Diceros bicornis minor: one gene and its partner. Each later gene encodes a partner of the first gene's protein in a complex. Links are inferred from orthologs where the notes say so. Each region holds a gene or a part of one and is shown on either strand. Other genes may lie near its edges.

Region 1 (10,157 bases):
TGCTTACCTAACACTGTGAGAGAAACAGTTGTGCATCTCTCAATCTACCAAATTAAATAATTCTTATCAATGCAGAATTCAAACAAATTACATAAAACAAAGAACACAATGCTACATGAGGTAATTTATAAATCATATTACCTTGACTCCTCTGTGACTGCCTCTTTCTTCCCAGCCTTTGTCTGACAGAGCTCTTTAAAGAACACAAGTTAAATAGCTAAAATTTAATGTGTCCTTATTATGTACCTGGTATTGTTCTAAGCATTTTACAACGTACGTATGTAGGATACTGCTGATTTTACCTAATACCTATTCTCTTCTTTCTCTAAGGTGATAGAACACTGGATCGTTTGTTAGACACATGGCAACTCGGAATGAGTTTACTTCTAAGTTCTAATTAATGAGGTGTTCATTGAAAGACAATACAATTTTCAGGTTTTCCTTTAAAGAGAAGGTGCCTCTATGTTGGCTGAAATGCTGATCTATTTGTGAGCCATCTGGAAATAAACACAATAGGATGGTGGAACAAAAGGTCAAAGGATCCTGGATCTGTGACCATTTCAGAATGTAAAGCCACACTATCAGCCTGGAATTTTAAGTGAAGAAGAAATAAATTTTTATCATGTTAAGATTTAGAAACTTGGGTTTCTCTCATATATAGCTTTACATATATCCTATGGACCAATATAATCTAGTATAGTTCTATGCAATAATAGATCCTCTCTACAGAAAAGTGCATATGCATGTGAATTTTGCTTAAATTTTAGGTTATTCCTGGATAAGCTGAAGTCTATCTACCTGCGCTTGGATCTCAGGTTAAGAATCATTAGTATAATAGGTGACTTTCTCGTTAACAAAATGTTTCTTTAAAAGTATTAATCTTGACTACTCTTAGCTTTCAAACCTTGATAATCAATACTGCAAGAAACTGGTCATTAAAACCGTTCATATATATATATAAAAATTTGTGGTGTATAAAACTTATACTATTTTCAAATAAATAAGCCAAATTTCTTGGTTAGTGGTGCTGCCAAGAAATAGTTTGTAGAGGGCTTTAGCAGCCACCGTGAAATAATCTCCAAAACCACCCAAGTCATCATGCCCAATACTAATTTATAAAGACAATTGACATTTTATCAACCTTATGTATAACTGAAAAAAGTCATTTTTAGAAAGTGTGCTTACTCTTCTTCTTTATTTGAACTGTATAATCTAGATAGAAGCAGTGTGCACTCTATGCACATGCAGATTTAAGACCACTTTGGCCCATCCTTCCATTATATTGCTGCTCTAAAGACCAAGCTGCATAGGAATTCTGAGCTGTGGCTAGGAATGACCTGCTAAAATTCATCAAAGCAAAGGCAACTGGGTAGAGAAAATAGGAGCTTGACATCACAGCTTAGACACATGAGAATTTGCATTCCACTTCTCTTCCTTTTCTTTCTGTTTTCTTACTGCAGAGTATAGAGAAAGTAACAGTTCTCTGAGGGCAGTGGGGCAAAAAAGAATTAAAACCTTCCCCGTGATTAGGTCAGACAACCCAGGCTGGGTGAACAGAGCCTGTGGCCAAGTCAGAATATCTGACTCCTTCGAAGATAAGCAGCTCAAGTTCTTTGATGTTCAGGGAGGCCTTCCAGCTCTGAAATTCTACAATTCTTTCATAAACCAAAGATTAAAGTCAAACCAGTCAAAAGGACTCAACCTAAGACCCAGAGCCAGATGATAAATAAAAAGTGAAAATTGATGAGAATGACATAAACCTTTAAAATATTTAGCATTACTTCTGAAAAAAATGTGCCCTTATGGCGAATGTTGATTTATGTAAGGTATATTATAGATTATACATGTTTCAAAGTAAACTATCATATAATAAGATAAGATATGTAATGTACTATATTATGTAACATATACTACCTGAAAAGAAATTGTAATATACATACATATACACACACACACATATTTAATTAATTAGGTTTGAGTTGAGAACTACACACAAAGATGTTAAATAGATCATGGGTCTGAATTGACTTAGAGTATGAATTGTATTGTAAATCATTTCTAGAACTATAATCTGATGGCTATATATATTTATTTATATGTATAAATATACATATGAATCTCCTGCAAGTTTGAAAGTTAGAGATACTTCCATCAGTAATTACTTACAATACAATATTATACATAATGTTATATATATAATATTTTTATAGAGTTAAGTGTACAACAAAATTTAAGGAAAATGCCACAACGTGAGTATACAAAGTTGGCCAATTAATCAAGGCTAGAAACGTTCAGACACTGAAATGAATTATTGAATTGGAACTAATGTTGCCATGAACAATTATAATAAGCAAATTACACACATCCAGCAGTGATTTTAAATAGCATTTACCACTGACATCCTTTCAGTTGGAGCAAATAGACAGCAATCAATAGCTGCCATAACATACTTGTGTAATCCATTCTACCCGGCCATGTCAGCCTGAAGTGATACTGATGAGGCCCCTGCAGTGACTATTCAGCATGTCTGGTATTCTAGAGCATACACAGCATAAAAACTTGAGAGACTTGTTCTTCAGGGTGAAAAAGAACTATGATCTTAACACAACTCACAACATATTTCCTCTTAAGGAGTGAATTATACTTTAGGAAAACATTTTGAAAAATCACTTGGCTGGGAAGTTGAGACGCCGAAGTCATGAGGAGAAAGTAAGTGACAAGGTGACAAAAAAGACAGCTAAGTTGCCCTACATTAGAACTGAACAGAAATCTGGGACTAGAGGAAAAGAACAGAGGAGAAGAGAGAGGAGAGAAGGCCAAGGACCATGTTGCCATGGCCAACGGCTTTTGAGAACAGGCATATTTAATACTTTATTCGGTCAATCCATATTTGACTTTAAGTTACTTATGTTGCCTTGGAGAGAATCATATTCTCATGCTAATAACTATCCTCCTTACTGTCCATGAACTTAGCTTGTCAGATTGCTTCTATGCTTTTCGATTTAGTTCTTTTCCATAAAGTTCCTTAATGCATCTCACAAATGGATCCCTGGTGGGCCAGATACACTAGCTGTCCAGAAAGCTCAAGTACTCTGAATTCTCCAAGAGTGAGCAACACGAATTTTCAGTCTGGGCTCCCAGCTTGTTTGTTCCCAGTTCAAAACATAGCTCATGTTTGATTCTAGAGATTAATCTCAGGAAGCTTGAAGAAGTTGGGTTTTTCGCGTTGATCATGACTCCCTTTTAGGCAGTTGTGGGGAGAAAGGGACTCAAATTCAATACTTTTATAATTATATTGTAACAATGTGTGTTCAGTCCCCTCCTGGGGAAAGCAAGCCAGGAGAAGGGATAGAGCAGAAGACACGGTGAGTGTGGGTGGCTGTAATTATGGATGATAACAAAATCAAGGGAGTAGCCAGAGATGAGAGTCAGTTGGGTGATGGAAAAGGGAAGATCACTAAAGCAGAGAGGGGAATCTAAATAAGTCAGCAAAGAAAAAGTCAAAGCCAGAAGCAAAATTTGAGAATAGGAATTAGAAACCCTGAGAAAAGACGGCAGATAAAACAGTGATGGGACAAGCTATTGGTGATAGCTTGATCCTGGGTGAAGCTTGGAGACACTGTTTTTTAAATCTCCTCTAGTTGCAGAGTCCCTGAAACGGATGAAAGCATTGCAATTTTGCATTTAGATTCAACACAGTAAATGAGTATTGATGATGTATCAGATACATCATCAAAAGATTAATCTTTTTATTATTCAGTTGACAAAAATGTACAAGATATTTTCTATGTGCCATGCTTTTGTTTAGCTATTGTAGATACAGCTATGAATGCAAGATCCTAAATTCCTGGAATTTTATATTCTAAAAAGGAAGACAGGAAAATAAATGTAAAATATAATATCAAGTAGTTGATAAATGCTGTGAGAAAAATTAGAACAATAGAAGGTGCCAGAGAGAGACAAACATGAATTTAGAGAAGATTTTCAGATGAAGATATTCTGAAAAAGGGATATTTGAACAGAGAACAGAATGAAGAAAAGGAATAAGCCTAGTAAATATCTAGGACACAAGCATTTCAGAGGGAACAGCAAGAGCCTGTCTTCAGCCTTCCTCTCATCCAAGTTCCAAATAATAGGAACAATAAACACAAAAGCAATCTAAAAGGAGATCAAACAATATTTATTACCGGAAAAGTTAATGCTCAATTATCCTCAAATGTAGGATTTCTGGATTACTGGATTAGAGAGTATATGTTTAAACTGGTATTATAATGGACCATCTCACTGCTTCCTTGAATCTAAAACTTGGGGCATACGTGATGGGGATCTGAGATCTGTAGCACAAGCTTTATCCACTTTGTCAGGTACCTGCTCATGCACCAAATTGCCTGCAAAATGGAGAGCTCAAAAATGGCAGGCCAAATTTTAAGGAGAAGGTAGTATAGTCAGGGGATGTATCTGTCCTTGTCTGATGGTGTGTTTATTGCATGGAAGCAATGCATATTTGAGAAGACAAGAGAATATGAGCACCCACTGTGCTTGAGAGCAAACATAGTCCAAACAAGAGAATATGTCTTCTGTGAGCAGTGAGTTTGAATACAGAACACGAACTTGTAGAGGAAATATGGTCTATTGGAAGACAAAATTCTCACCAGTCCAATTACTTGTTCTTATTCATACAGGGAAGAATGTACAGGGGGAAATGTGGGGTAGTAAGACAGAAATTCCCTTACAGCACTTCTCCAGAAGGGCTAAAGTGAGAATATCACAAAAAAGGAGGTTTCCTTTGACATTCTTCAGATTTTTGTTCTTTCAGCCCAATAGGGATGTCAATCAAGGGTATTTATAAGCCCATTGAGGAAAAGACTAGCAACAAATCATGGTTCTTCGGCACTCACCTTTATCATGTTGCTCCTTAATCTCTACTGCCATTGATCCTTTCTATTCTCCTAGGACAGGACATGGGTAGTTTAGTGTTTATGTTCAGATGAATCTAAAAGGTTAAAGAAAGGATATTAATTATGTTTCATTCCAGTTTAATTTCCCATCTTAAGTTTTTTTTAATCATGTAGACCCGTGTGTCTCACCAGGGGTTGTAGGACAATGAGTGCTGTGAGTCATCATAAGATTACTCACAAAAATAGAGTTTTTATAATATAAAAAAATCCATGTTTAAATAATATTAGTTCCCTCCTCGTAGTAAGAAAATTTAAGTCCAAAAAATGAAATCACCCATTCCTCATAGTCTAAAGAAATTCAAATCAGAAGTTTTTAACTACTTACTATTGTAATACGCTCAGTCTCAGCTCAAAGAATTTCTCTCATATAACATCTGGATTCCTCTGCTTAGCTGTGATTCATATAGCATCTTCAGAGTTATGTTAATTCTACTCTAAGACTCTTGGAAGTTCCACTTTTATAAAGAGTTCAAAGAGTCAATAAGACTCAGAAAAATACCACACAATCAGCTCTACAGCTACACATGCTTTTTTTCTCCAAAAAATGTAAAACAAAACATAGTGCTTTAAAAAGTTGTGCTAAGCAAAATTTTGTTTCCAGCAACTAAGACTTAGTATAGTTCAGATTTTCATTACAAAAGACCATAGCAAAGACATCTAGATGCTATTTTGGGAGATGGGAATTGGCGAGATAAATCATGTGAAAAATATCAAATGCTCTTATACTCTTTCAAAACTTAAAAATTTGCAATACTGTCGCATCAAGACATCTTACTGAGGCTGCCTTCTTCCCCTTAGTGTCTTTCCCACATCGAGTCCAAATGTCTTCCAATATCAATATCTTAGTTTTCTTGGTGTCATCCAAGGAGAGTCTTACTTAAATGGAACCTTGTTTTCTTTATAATACTCCCCTTTTGAAAACCTAAGTTTTCATATTTATTCTACATTTCCAAAGAATCAGAATCAATGTAACCACAATAGAGCTGCTGCTATCCTCTTTCCCAGCACTCCCTGCAACCACCATCCTCCAGTATACAAATATGCTAGAGATCAACAGGGAGGGTTTTCCATAGGTTCTATCTAATGAAAAGACTAGAATTAAGAAAAAAATCAAAGTGAAGACCTTTTAATCAGCCAAGCAACTGCCCAACAACCCCAAAGTACTAGCCCCTCAAGGTAAAGCAGACTGAAGAATGTGGGCTAGAGATAAGTCAAATAGACTCCTTCTACAATCCACCCATATTTACAGCCTGGAACAGCCACCTATGGAAGGAGCTGACTTCATTAGCTGTAAATAATTCAGGCCTACCACACTTACCACTTACAGGGAAAGGAGAGGAAGACAGAGACAGACAGTGAAAGAGAACACACACACAGACAGGCAAGGAGAAAGAGGAGATAAAGACACACACACACAGGGGCTGACAGAGAGAGAGAAAGAGAGGTAGGGGATAGACAACTAACTGCCTTTAGAAGTCAGTCTTAGGACCCTGACCCAAGGATTCTTACCACATGGAGTCAGGAAGCAGAGGAGAGTCTTTCATTGATCTTCTTACTCATTATGAGAGAGGCAGTGCAAGGAAAAGGGTAGAGTATATTTCTTAATACTTACAGTGACTCTAACAGCTAGCAGAACAATGTTGCTCATTATAGGTCAGAGCCTCAGGAATAAGATTAACTGCTCTTTCTCTTATGATCAGGGGCAAGTAAAGAGATTCATAGAAGATGGATGTTGCCTTCTTATCATAATGTCAGAGAACAAAAGATCTGTAGAAGTGCTCTTCTCTAAGAGCACAAATGGTAATGTGGAGAAGGGAAAAAGATATCTCCCACTATACCCACCACTCATTATAATTCCAGGTGGATTTTGTCATGGAAGGTATGAGTTTGAAGCCAGGAGCAGAAAGAAGTGACTGGTAGGTAGAAATGTTGGAGAATTTTCTGCAAAGGAAGTGACATTTGTAAGACATTTTGAACGTTAAGTAGGATTTTTATCAGGCAGTCAAGTTGAAAAGGGCATTCCAAATAATAAGAGCAAAAACTTAGAGATATAAAGTATATAGCTCATTTGGCAAATAGTGAGAATTCAGTCAGAAAAGTCTTATGTTACTGGAATTGACAGTGAGAGAGAAATGAAGAATAGTGTGTGTGTGTGAGTGTGCAGGTGTGTGTGAAAAAGGCATTTTGTTCACATATGGTTCTTTTAAAATGTCACACTAAGGATCTAGATGTTAGTCTTTAGCAATGGGAAACCAATAAAGAAATTTTCAGTAGAGGAATGATGTAATCTGATAGATGATTTAGGAAAAAATATCTTTAGTGGACATGTGGAAGATGAGGATAGAAGGCTCAAGTTCATGTGATCTCAAGGCCTTTCTGACCCAGGCAATTCCATCCACATCATTGGTGCAATGCTCCCCATCAGGTAAGGAGTTTTGTGATTTTCACATAGGGCAGAACCTCTTTGACAACTTTGGGCCTCAATAGCTCTTGGAAATGCTCCGAGTGAGGGCTTGACAAATATAGATATGGCACTACCAGTCAGAGGATCAATCATTGAGTAGCAAGGGAGACTGTGAGTTCTCAACCCTGCCTGTGATTATAATCAGCTGGAGATTGTAGGGGAAAAAAATTTGCTACCAAAATGTATCTTTTTGGCTTGATTATTTTTAAGAACAAAAGACTGAGGAAGAAACTTTGACCTCCCCTCTAACTGCCTAAAAGAATTTAAGATAGAAGGCCTGTTTCAGGAAGGAGCTATCACCATAGATAACTATAGCATAATATGAAGTAGGTCTGGTAGACAGGGAGGAATCTAGCAAGGCCTGTTTGATCAACATCGTCTCCATGTCCCACTGTCTCTGCACGTCATGGCAAAGATTTATTTACCAAACATTTGCTTTTACATCTCCTTGTGAATTGTCTGTCTCCCCTTTGAAGTCCCAAAGCACTACCCCAACATCCTCCTTTGTCTTTGGCTGAAGACAGTATTTAAAATGGTAGCTTTGACCATTTTGGCCAGTTACTCAGTTTTCCTGGGTTTCTCCCTTGTGTACATGTTATTAAATTTGTTTGACTTTCTCCCATTCTTCTGTCTCATGTCAATTTAATTCTTAGACCAGTCAGAAGAACCTAGAAGCGTAGAGGAATATTTCTCTCTCCCCTACATGAGCTTAAAAAAAATTATATAGATATATACTGAGGTCAGAGCCCCATGTCCCAAGATTCTAGTGAAGCTTATGTATTAACATTTCTTAAAACAACTCGCTGGGTGATTTTAATATCCAGCCAAGTTGACAACCCTTGCTTTGAATTATTACTGCCTGTTGTTTAATGGTTACCCATTTATCATGACAGATGTCAATTGCATTTGTTTTGTTTGTTTGTTTGTTTGTTTACTTATGTAGAAGCTGTCTGAGTTTGAATAAGTATAATTAAAGAGCATGATAAAACAAGAAATTGAAATCTGGATTATAATCATATTTTCAGATCTCAGAGCAACTCAGGCTCACGTCTTTTGAGTTTCATTTTTCCCATTTGAGAAATGATAAGATAAACAGGTATTTATTTATCACATGATAATAATAATTCAAAAGAGAAATAGATCTTATGTTGAGTGGAGCACACTATGAAGAGCCACTGCAAAAAACTCTACAGGCAAAAGAGAGACATATTTAGGCATGTGTTTAAAAAGAATATTGTAGCAAGTTAGAGAAACAGATGCAAGGAAGAGAAGCTGAAGGTGTGGAGAACAGCAAGGAAACTGTTTCAAATGTCTATACAAGAGATTATGAAGCTCTAAAGAGAAATGAAGCAGTGCACTCATGATGAAGTAAATGAATCAAGTAGGAGAAGTATTTTTGAGTTAGACTTGTTCTTAAATGTTGTAGGTGAGGAAAAATAATTTTCTCTCTACCCTTGTAGATTCTTGGCTGAGATTCCTGTGAAATAAAAGATGGACAAATAGGAGAAAAACAAACAAAAGTTGAATAACATGTATATCTCTGTTGGGAGAGGTCCAGGAAAACCGGGTAACTCTCTGAAATGGCCCAAGCCACCGCCTTAAATGCCATCTCCAGCTAGAGACAAAAGAAGATGTTGAGTGGTGGGACAGCCAGTTATGTGAGGCTATCAGGAAAAGCACGGTAAACAAGGATACGGTTATTATGTAGATTTAAGTCTGTGCCTTCTCCATTGACAAAGAGTTTCTACAGATTTAGCCATCCTCCTACTCCTATTACAGAGAGAAACACACCCTTATAAATAGAGATTTTCCTTATAAATGTAAATTCTTGTCGTTAGATGCCCTCAAGTCGACCCTATGAATGAGTGATGTCCACAATGTCCTGTCCTCAACAGCCCTACCCAAATTCTGTAGACTCATGTCCCTGGCTGCCTTTATGGAGTCAATCCACCTCATATCTGGTCTTCCTCTTTTTCTGCTGCCTTCTACTTTTCCCTGCATTATAGTCTTTTCCAAAGAATCTTGCCTTCTCATGATGTGCCTAAAGTAGGACAGCCTCAGTGTTATCATTTTTGCCTCCAGCAATAATTTAGGCTTAATTTGCACTAAGACCCACTCGTTAGTCTCTCTGGCAGTCCACATGGAAATGTCTTTTACAGTAGGATAACTTCTTGGTTTTCAGAACTTTTCCTATGTCTACTGTTTCTTAAAAAGTAACCAGCTCAAAGGGCAGGCCAGGTGGCCCAAGCGGTTATGTGCACATGCTCCGCTGTGGCGGCCCCGGGTTCACCGGTTCAGATCTCTGGCGGGCACCGACGCACTGCTTGGCAAGCCATGCTGTGGTGGCGTCCCATATAAAGTGGAGGAAGATGGGCACAGAAGTTAGCCCAGGGCCAGTCTTCCTCAGCAAAAAAAAGAGAAGGATTGGCAGATGTTAGCATAGGGCTGATCTCCTCACCAAAAAAAAAAAAAAAAAAAAGTAATCAGCTCAAGATTATTCTTATGCCAAAGAGGTATATTTTAGGGTGGCAAATTCTGCTCCCCTTCAATGTTTATTGGTTTAAATAAGGAGAATGAGAAAGTGGAAATTTTTGTAAATACCTCCCAGATTTTTTTGCTTGGGAAGCTAAAATAGAGGAAGCAGCAATTTAGAAGATATAGATTTGGAAATATTTTTTTTAAGAATATGTACTTAAAACTATAAAAGTTTAGATATCTTCCCAGAGGGAGAAAAT
Region 2 (10,405 bases), on another chromosome or scaffold:
AATACCTATCACCTCCTCCACAAAAGCGTTTTTATCCTTCCCTCAGCAGCTAATGCTACACACACACATACACACTTTGTACCTCTAGGCTGCGCTACATTACAGCCCTTAGACATTTCACTGTACTTTTTAATTTCAGGCTTGACTGTCTTCCCAACTTCTAAACTATCAACTCCCTGAGGGAAGGAGCACATCTTACTAGTCCCTGTATCAGCAGCATTAAGCTGCTGTACTTGCCACATGATAGGGGTTCAAAATTGGTAAAATGAACAAAGAATTAAGGACTTGCATCTAACTTCTCTAATGTTGGAAATGATTAGGTGGTTGCCTTCACAACAAAGCCTGTTCATATTGTAGTGCTGGATCAAGATTTCCACATTTCTGCTACAGCCCCAGGTAGCCTGATGCAGAAAGAGGTGTCAATTTTCTCTTTCAGCAACAAAGGGACTCAATACAGGGTGCAATGCAGCAGCACCCACTTCCACGCTTCAGGAAGTTATCTGGGGAAAGGCAAAGTGGGTTTCCAGAGGTCCCCACAGGCAGGTGAGATAAATCAGAAACAGCATTATCAAACCTCATTTGCAGGGAGAATCACATTTTAGAACTAACTTTTAATGAGGGGGGGAAGATTATCTATTCCCCTGTTGATGGCACTAAGTTGCCAATATGAGCTAAGCAAAACAAAAGGTAGCATGAGATAACAGTGGAAGTTACTTGCTTTCTGTTGCCTGCTCTCATAGTTCTGAAATAGCTACTGACTCACTGCTCTCATTACGAGATACTACGTGGAGGACTGGGCGTCATACCTAACGGGCTCCTTGCTGTGGCTTTGAAGCTTCTTTATCTTACTTTACCTTACAAACATGAATGCTCTGATTTGTACGGGGTCTGATACACCTATTTCACAAACCAATACTTCAACTGCCTTCACTGATTTAAACAGTTCAGGCAGCATCCAAGATCCTAACAGACTCTGCCAACTGTCAGTTTCAGCTGTTCTTTTCCGTTTCCACAATACTTCATAAACTAGTATTACAGGAGCCATAAATTTGTCTTCTGCCTAATCACTCATTTTCTTTAGAAATAATTCCTTTTGCTTAAATGTTCTCCCTAGACTTGCAATTACATCCATAATTAAGGCAAAGATAAGTTCTTATTATAACCTAACAGTCAAAAATATATTAATGACATGTGAAACACTTCACCCACAATATTAAATTTTAGATACTCGTCAGAATAAGGTAATTTAGGACTGCCTGGGTAAAACTGGGTGCAGGAGGCTATGCTTATTCTGCAAACATTTATTAGGCATAAACACCCACCCAGTGTGGAAACTTCCACAAATGCCTTCTCTGCATGCCCTTCTCTTCTAGTTCCACCTACCCATCCTCTCTTGACAACTCAGATGAAACAAGTCACTATCAATGAGAAAGTCATAGCCCCAAATATAGACTTTCAGAAAAATAATGTTTTTAACACTCCGTTTCCTCTCCAGTCCACCTTTATGGCTTTATTAAGGGCAAATATACTAGTTTATAAACAAATTTAATTACCCTAAAGTATCTAAAATGTGCTGCTACGTGTGGCAGCTTATTTTCATATTTTAAACACCAGTCTCCCTGTTATTAAGTTCATCCCAAGCTTCCCTTGGTAAAATGATGGGCATTCATGCAGCTTAAAGGTTGTGGAAAACCAATCTTCTTCCACGATGCTACTATTCCACAGTCTAGAGAGAATGCAGCCTTCGACAGGAAAAACTGCCACCTCATTTTTTTTTTTGCTCTGACATGTTTTAAACAGAAGAGCTGCAGATTCTTAAAGGAAGCCATATTTCAAAGATTCTGAATAGTAGTATTTTTCAGTATCCTGTCTCATTAAAATTGGTGCAACTCATCCAAAACATTTTTCAAATGCCATTATTTTCCAGCTTACGTGCTTAAAAACTGCTTAGAGAAAACAATCTCTCCATCTGAAAGATTTACCTCAAACCAACTAGTAATCATTAAAATAGAAAGGAGGAGAAAAAGAAAAGAATTCACTTTTACAGATTACAAAATTTTGTTAAACTCACCTAACTCCTTCATTTTACAGATAAGAAAACAGAGTCCACAGAGGTTAAGTAATTGCCTCAGATCACCAAGCTACTAATAGCAGCACTAGAAATAGAATGAGGTATTTTAACTGCTCTCAGCAGCATCCCAAATTATGCAAGTTATATATATTCTCATCACTTGTCATTTAAGTTTAAAAAACAATTATCGCTCTTTCTCCTTAATTCCTGACCAAGGGCTCCTACAATATCTACATTTTCAAATTTGTTCAAGTTAATAAACTTCAAATTTTAACTCCAACACAAAAGGTAATACTATCTAAGAACTTTCCTCTGAAAGTTTCCAGAAAGAAAGTTTAGGTGTGCACACCCCTTATACTGTCACAGTGAATTTCAGAGTCTATCCTTTCAATTCCTGTCCCTTTAGATGTGTTTGTTCAACTACAAAAAAAAAAAGAGAGAAAAGAAAATTCTGGAAGTTCCTCTTCGACAAAAAGCATTGACAATCGGTCAATGAAATGACCAGATCATTACTCCATTAATATATTATGGGTTTCTGGTTTAAACTAGGAAGACTAAGTTATTGTGTGAAGAGTTAATAAAAGGTTGGAAAATGCACTCTTGGCTGACTTTGGATTTGAAAGAAGGTGTAGATCTGACATTGTTAACACAAATTGAAGACTTGAGCTTAAAAGCAAAAAACAGAAAAAGTGACCAAGTTCCTTCAACAAAAAGCTGTTTCCTATTCAAGCTCTGATCTCCTATCAAGTGCATCGGCCATGTGCAGACCACATCAGTAAGACTTTCAGATTTTCGTTTTAATGCTCCAATAAATCACTTCTACACATTTTAGCTTTGGGTATTCAAGGGCAAAATAGAGGGCACCGTAAGGGCAACAATTTACATTGGATCATTTTCAAGGGCTGTAGTCTAACCACCCATTACTGTACAATTGTTCCTCTGTGCAACTGATTCTTCTCAAAGTACTGAGAGAACGCAGTACTTCTCTTTGAAAGATATCAGCAACAAAACCTAAAACACGATTTCGAGTACAAACTAATGCGGCAGTGTAACCAGTAAAGTGCAGACTGTGTTGTCTTCTTACACATTACTAATAAAACTATATTCTGGTTACAAACGATATACGTATGTTCCTTCATTATGACTTCCGGCGTCACTCTACAAAAATAACTTGTTAAAATGCTAACACACCTATATTTTTCAAGTACGACCAGCTTAGCAAGGTGGAATTTGCTTGAAAACACAAAACCCAGACAATCGCCACCACCGCTCAATAACACACATACATAAGCAGATTCGAAGCTGTGTTAAACACAAAAATCCTTACCCCATTTTGCCCAGTGAAAACTTGCTCTGAAGTTTCTGCTCTTATGCTCGGAATAACTTCCAAAGGAATTTCTCCGTCTGCTATTTCGCAGTCGCTTTTCCACCCCCCGAGATCCTTTTCTGGAGGTATTTCAGTGATGCTGACAATTCAATTAGTTCCCTTAGGTAAAATGATTTCTCCCTCGTAAATACCAAAACGTTCAAACAGAGGGGGCATTTGCTTATTGGAGTTAAAATGCTGCGCGGAGGAGACAGCGGTCAACTCTATTCCACAAAATGAGTCTGTGTCGTAAAGCGCAGAATCCAGCTTCACCGAGTCCTATAAAAAATGAGTTCGGTGGTCATTTCGCTCATGTCCTCCTCGACACTCAGAGAGAAGCAGGTAACTCGGCCTTTTCGGTGCTACTAAGGCTGCGGGTTCAGATTTCTCTCCCACCCCAGGTCCCTGGGGGTGGAGCGTGCAACCCAATGCGACGTGCACTTTAGAGAGCCCTAGGAGAAAATAAAAATCCTAAAAGCAGTAATGCCACTGCTTCCCTGCGCTCACATTAGAAAAAGCGATGTAGAAAAATCTCCTCGAAGTGCAAACCCTGCAGCTCGCGACGTGCACGGCACTCCACATTGGAGTCTGTCTGTGAAACGTCTCCCCTTCTAAGACTCGGAGCAGAGAGGCGGTGGGGAGGAGGAAGAGCAGGCTGGGCAGGATCGCTTCATTCTCCCGAGGAGAATAGACGGAGCCATTTCCAGGCTGGCAGCAGGCTGGGGGCGCCGCGCACGCCGGGGAGCGGGGGGCGGGGGCGCGATCCCCCTCCCTCAGCCCCTGCCCGCCCCCCGCCGCCCAGCACAATGGAGCCTGGCTCGCGCCCGGCCCTTCATTCGCCGCGGCCCCTCTCCCCTCCTCTCTTCGGAGCACCGCAGGTCCGAGGCTCCCGTCGGCGGGGAATGAATGAGTCACAGAGCCGAGCCGCGCGCCGCCGCCGGCCCCCAGCTCCGGGGCGGGCCGAGCCGCGGCGGAGGACGGGGCGGGAAGGTCGACGGGCGCCCGCCCGAGCTGAGGCGGGCGGCTACTCTCGCGTCGAAGGCAGGGGCGCGGGGCTCGAAGCCGCGGGAGAGCCGCTACTCCAGCGCCCCCACCCTGCTCCTCGCCTCTCCCGCTCCGCGCCGCCGCCACAGTCCCCGGGCCCCGCCGCCGCCTCACACTTCCCTCACCGCCCGCCTCCCCCGGCCTCCGGCTCCCGCTCGGCAGAGCAGCGCCGGCCCAGGCGGCCTGGAGCCGCCGCTGCCTCCGCCTCCACCGGCCGCTCGCGGAGCGGAGCGCGCCACTTCCCAGTCAGCGCCGCCCGCGGGAGGCGAGCGCGGCCGCCGGGCGGGCAGGGGGCGGGGAGAGCGGGGGGCGGGCCCTCCCCCTGCTCGCGGGAGGGGGCGGGAGACGGCCGGCCCCGCGGAGCCGCGGCCGGGCGCCGGGGGCTGGCGCGCCGACCCGTCCCGAATGCCCGGCGGGGCTCTGCGGGCAGCGGGAGGGAGCGGCAGCCGCGCGGGCGGCGGGAAGGCTGGTGGTCAGCGGCCCAGCCGGCCCTCGAGGGGAGCAAGTCCGGCCGGCAGGTCCGTCAGTCCGTCCGTCCTTCTTTCCTTCCTTCCCCCCTCCCCTAGCGGCCGGCGGCGGGCGGCCCGCGCGCTCTGCTCTTCCGCTGGCTTCTGGCCCCGCTCCCGGCCGCCACTGCCTCCTCCACACCCCACACCAGGTGCTCGCGCTGTGTCTCCATCCTCCCCGCAGGAGGACCTTTAAATAGCAACGTCAGCGCGCTTCTCTCCGCACACACGTCACCCGCCGCTCACGTCACCGGGGTGCGGGGGATGATGTCACGCGGCCGGAAGTACTGCTAAATTAGGGAAGGAGCAGGGGGAGGAGGAGTCCGCGAGCTGCTCTGTGCCCACCTGCTCTCGCTTCAGCTTAAAGGCCAAAGCACAGGAGACAGCCCGAGAGGAGCTCGGCGAAGGAAGCGGCGGGAGGAGGAGATTTCCTTGCAACAAATGTGCCAAACACAAGTGAATCATTCATAGCAACACTGCTGAAGTGTCAAGCGGGTGACATCGAATCTTCCACTCCCACCTCTGTTGCAGCAGCATCCGCGGGCTTCTCAAGTCCCAACTCGCACGGAAATGTGGGAGGAGAGCCTGCTCACTAGTGGTAGATAGGTTTCCAACAAGACTTGGGGAAAATCACCTTAATTTTCGAAAGACATTAAATGCCATTCCGGACGCAGTCGATTTTAAAACTTTTTTTTTTTTTCTGCTTAGTGGTTACCTAAATCACGGAAGGATAAAGAGCGGAGCCATGAACAAATGTTGTAATGTTATAAAGAATAGTAATTAAGGGGGGCATCAAATCATCTAAATGTTTTCATTTGCAAAACAGCAATGTTTTGGCATAGGATAAGTCAATCTTAGAAAGTTCACTCGTGGTTATTGTTACACGCATAGCAAATGCCAGTATATATCCTCTCAGTTCAGGTTTATAGAGAATATGAGTTCCAGTCTATGGAAATTAAAAATAAGAAAGACCACCAAATCCTTTTTATAATATTAACACAAGCACATTTAGATTGTTTTTGTCTTCCTTGGCTTTGACCATGTAATATGTAATTACTGTATCTCTGAAGTATGTTGTTTTTCATTTCCTATATGGCAAGGGTGAGTAGCCTTTTATAGGTTTATTAGCCGTGTGTGTGTGTTTGTGTCTATAATAAATCATATTATGAATGCTTTTCAAATTGCAAATTTCTACAAAGTTTTAAAATGTCATTATTTTGATAGTTTATTATTAGGTAGACTCAAATAATGAGCTTTGATTTGATTTAATTTGATAATCATGACCCAGAAATACGATTATTACATAATGCCAAAGGCCATCGCTGTTTCACAGTTAGTCTATAAATTCAGGGACCACGTTTTCCAAACCAAAATCCGGACACATCATTTGACAAGAAACCAAATACATGAAATCTGAAGTGACCTGGAAAATCCAGGACATAGGATTACCAATCTATAAAATGATTGTTAGGAGAGCTATAAATGGATATCAGAACAGTTTAAATAAAAGAAGCTAGAACTCCACCGAATTTATACCATTTGTGGTTAAAAAAAAATTTGGTTTTTCAACTTTCTGCATCTACATTTTCTTGATTGAGTTAGGAGTCCAAGATTAAAGGACACTAGCCAAAAGAGTTAGGACCGATTTGCAACTAAATCAGGCTTTTTGGTTATCTTCACATTATAAAATCATGATCTTGCTTGTAATTTGAAATATTGAAAGTAGTTTTTTTAAAGGTTATAACAAAAGTTAATCAAAAGCAAACCCCTGCTTGCTAATTTGTTTAACATATACTATCGTATTAATAGTACTGATTTATATTTCAGATGAATGGAGCTTCTTACTTATGTATAAAATATTAAAACAATAAAACTGTCATTTTTCAAATAATGTCATCCCTTTGGCCCTTGCAAATTAAAATACAAATTATTACTCTATTAAAATTTCTCTACAAACTATTTCCTATCTGAACTAAATCACTTTTCTCTCTTTCCTGCTCTTTCCATCCACGTTAATTAAAGCTTTCACTTTACCATTTTCAAACACTTCATTCTACCCTTTCATCAAGACTTCCTCTGGTTTACAGTCTTATTCCCCCTCATCTTTACCCAACTGTCAAAACAGCACATCAGCTGCTTTTAGAATGGTGACCCTTCATTAGAGTTTCTACTTTTCAAAGCTACATGATTTCTTCTCAACTGCTCTTTTGTTGACTGAAAATTGAGAGCAACTTTTTTTCTATATAAATTGAATTGTGCATTGTGATATAATTACTCAAGGTTTATGTGATTATTTAACTTCAGCCTCCACTCTTAATCTAGAAAATTCTACCAATAATTGGTCAATTTTTCTTTCTAGCTTGTGTGGGATTAGTATATCAGGGAATACATATGTCTATGTACCCAAAGGAATAAATAAAACATGTATCATGGAATATCTGCTCAGAAAAAAAATAATAAAGTAAGTGCCTTTTCTCTTCTCTTGAAACAATTCCAATACAATTTTGAGAGGAGTCAGAGAACCATTCTATGACTTTCCATCTAAAAGTAAATATCTTTTCTTCTAAAATTGAGCTCATGTAACCCAAATGCAAGCCATGAATTTCCAACCCTGATTGCTTTGTATGTTTTTTCAAGTAGTGAGCTTCCTAGAAAGTAATATATTTTCTTTTACCGGAAGAGGCAGAAAGTACTTTAGTAGAGTTTCAAATTTTTAACAGTTCCTATTTCCCACTACACTGTGAAAATTTGTGGAGAGGTTTATGAATATCCTCTGATTTTAGAACCTGTGGGCGAAGGCATCTGTTTTAGTTACAGAGTTTACTTCCGTGCCCTTAATAGGAGATGGCAATGGGGTGTTCATAGACTGGTCATGAGATATCTCTTTTTCAATGAAAAGACATCCAGGAGATAGAAAAACTTTGCGGGAAAGAGGGTTAAAGCCAGATTTTGTTTTTAATTGCTTAACATTAGATAATAGCAACTCCCTTTCAAATTCCCTCTTTTTAATTACCAAAATACCACTATTGCTTCAAATAAAGTCATAGGTAGAAATAATAAGTTAAAAGATATCTCTGCATACATAGAAATATCAAGATTCCTAGTTTATGCCACACAGTTAGGAAGAAACTAAATAAGCAGTCAAGACTAAAAGTAGTGATAAGAAAAGAATGAAGGATTTGTAGGGAAACAGAATTTATCCGGTTGATTCTCCAAAGGCATCCCACTTGCTCCAGAACACAGCAGATACTGAATGTCAGTAAAATGTGTTTGGCTTGTTTACAACCGTCTTTTGTTATCACCAATAATGTTCTGAACAGAAACAGGCTAGTTAATGGTCTCAAGGATGAGAGTAGAAGTGTTTGGCACCTCCAACACGATGGCTTGAGGACAGTTTTACTCTTCTGAGTGTCTGCACTATTTTATCAGAGGGTTTGGGAGTGGTGGAGGGAAGAAAGTTAGGTAATTATCCTCAGAAAAGGTATGATATAGAGCGCCTGGGAAACAATCTCATAGAACTCTCTCTTGCTCTGATTTTTACGGTAAATTCATTACATATATTCTAAATATCTCTAAAGAGATAGAGATCCCAGACTTGTGAAAGAACATATCCCAGACTTGTGAAAGAACATATCGGAAAGTTTTCAGTTGGTGCTACGAGAAAATCATTGTACAACTATGCATGTAATTTTTTTAAATATTCCAAAGAGATGGGGATATAAAGCCTTTGAAAAAATTATCTAGCATAACTTCAGATTGTTTGTTCTTTTATTTGGTTGTTTCATTGGTTGGCTGATTGTTCCACACAGGAGTTACAGAGAACAGGCTGCAAAAATATGCAGATCTGCAGAGAGCTACAGTAAAGAACGTGGAGTAAAGCTTGTGCTATACCTGTGCAGTTACCTAGAATGGAATGCTGCGGAAGCCGATTCCCATGGTAACCAGTAATCTTTTTCCTGAATGGGGGAACAGGACAACCATGAGGAAAATGTTTTAAATGAATTACCTTATTTTGTGGTTCTTTTGGTGCCAGCTCGGAGAAAAATAACACCCAAAGTATTTAGGACAGCCCTGCTTGTGAAAGGAAGTTGCCTTCTTTTGAAAGAGACGAAGCTGAGGCAAAAATTTGGGGCTATTTCAAAGAGAGATAGGGCTTTAAGATGGCAATTGGAAACTCTTTGAAGCAGAACGTAATTGGTAAAGACTCCAGCGTTGCTCAAGTGGGCAGAATCAATACCTAGCAATTGTGTTAAATGTTCCCCCAATCATAAGAGGTCAGACAATAAATAAAGACTCTTACCATATGGGAGTTTCAGCCAAGATATTTCTCGAATTATTTGTGAGGCTTTTTATTTCTTTTAATCTGGTTCTAAATAGTAATTTCTCTAAAAATTAAAATGAAAATGGTAACTATATCTTTAGTCAATGTCTATTCTATTATTTTAATAATGAATTATATTTGATCATATACATGATAAATATGTATATAGATATAAATAGATAGATCACTATAAAATGCCTGGATTCACTGGGTCATCTGCTAGAATGAAATCCACACTGCATGTTTTGGCATAAGAGGCATTCACTCATGATCGGTCCCCCGCCCACCTTTCTTACCTTGGTTACCACCCTCCCCTTCCCCCATTGCTAATGTGTGAGTTTATATCAACTGCAAGGAACAGAAACCCCACCTAATGGTGCATTAAGCTATAAGATTGTTTTTTTGTTGCTTATTTCCGTAATAAGAAGTCTGAAGGCAGGTGGTCCTACAGTTGACTGGGAAGATCCGAGGTGTCCTTAGATTGCAGGCTCTTTCCAGCCTTTCACCTTGCCATCTTCATGTGTTGTCTTTTAAGCCTGGCTTGTTGTCTCATGATTGTTGGAAGACTATTGCATTTCCAGGCATCAGATTCTCACAAAGAACATCCAAAGCAGAAAGGGAGGGAAAGAGACTGAGGAATTTTCTCCTTTAAGCCTGTTTCTTAGCAGGGAGAAAAATCCTCAAGAGGCCCCCAGAAAATTCCCTCTCACGTCTCATTGGCCAGAACTAGGTACATGCCCATCCCTAAATCAATCACTGACAGTTTGGCATAAGATTTTCATGAGTCACTTAGAAAAAGGGTAGTTTATCCCTTGAGTCTGCATATTGTGTCTGAACAAAATTAGAGCTCTCTCAGCAAGGAAGAAGAGGTGATGGCTATTGGGCAAGCAAACCACGCATTTGCCACACGGCCCAAAGCCACGCTGGTATTCCTGCTGCTCTTCAAATGTGACAGGATTGTTCCAAATGCAGGGCCTTTGCCACCTGGTCACATATGCCTGAGATCTTCACACTACTCCTCATTCAAATCTATGCTCAATTGCATCTGTTGAGAGAGACCTCTGGAACATTCTTTATAAAATATCTAGATATTCATA

What was found.
Region 2: the proteins of GRM5 (region 1) and HOMER1 are in contact, whole or in part, in a crystal structure (PDB 1DDV), measured with the Rattus norvegicus proteins. The link is inferred for Diceros bicornis minor from reciprocal best matches to the Homo sapiens genes GRM5 and HOMER1. Residues at the interface, in XP_006229721.1 of Rattus norvegicus: Thr1155, Pro1156, Pro1157, Phe1160; in NP_113895.1 of Rattus norvegicus: His12, Phe14, Trp24, Thr70, Ser71, Gln72, Lys73, Phe74, Gly89, Phe90.

Annotation. Positions count from the first base shown.
Region 1 is NC_080746.1:44,042,766-44,052,922, reverse strand, and holds the start of GRM5 (metabotropic glutamate receptor 5), read right to left. Parts: upstream 4,996-10,157; 5' UTR 4,899-4,995; intron 1-4,898. UniProt on the Homo sapiens protein: G-protein coupled receptor for glutamate. Ligand binding causes a conformation change that triggers signaling via guanine nucleotide-binding proteins (G proteins) and modulates the activity of down-stream effectors.
Region 2 is NC_080740.1:8,251,062-8,261,466, forward strand, and holds the start of HOMER1 (homer protein homolog 1), read right to left. Parts: upstream 4,197-10,405; 5' UTR 3,404-4,196; coding exon 3,399-3,403; intron 1-3,398. UniProt on the Homo sapiens protein: Postsynaptic density scaffolding protein. Binds and cross-links cytoplasmic regions of GRM1, GRM5, ITPR1, DNM3, RYR1, RYR2, SHANK1 and SHANK3.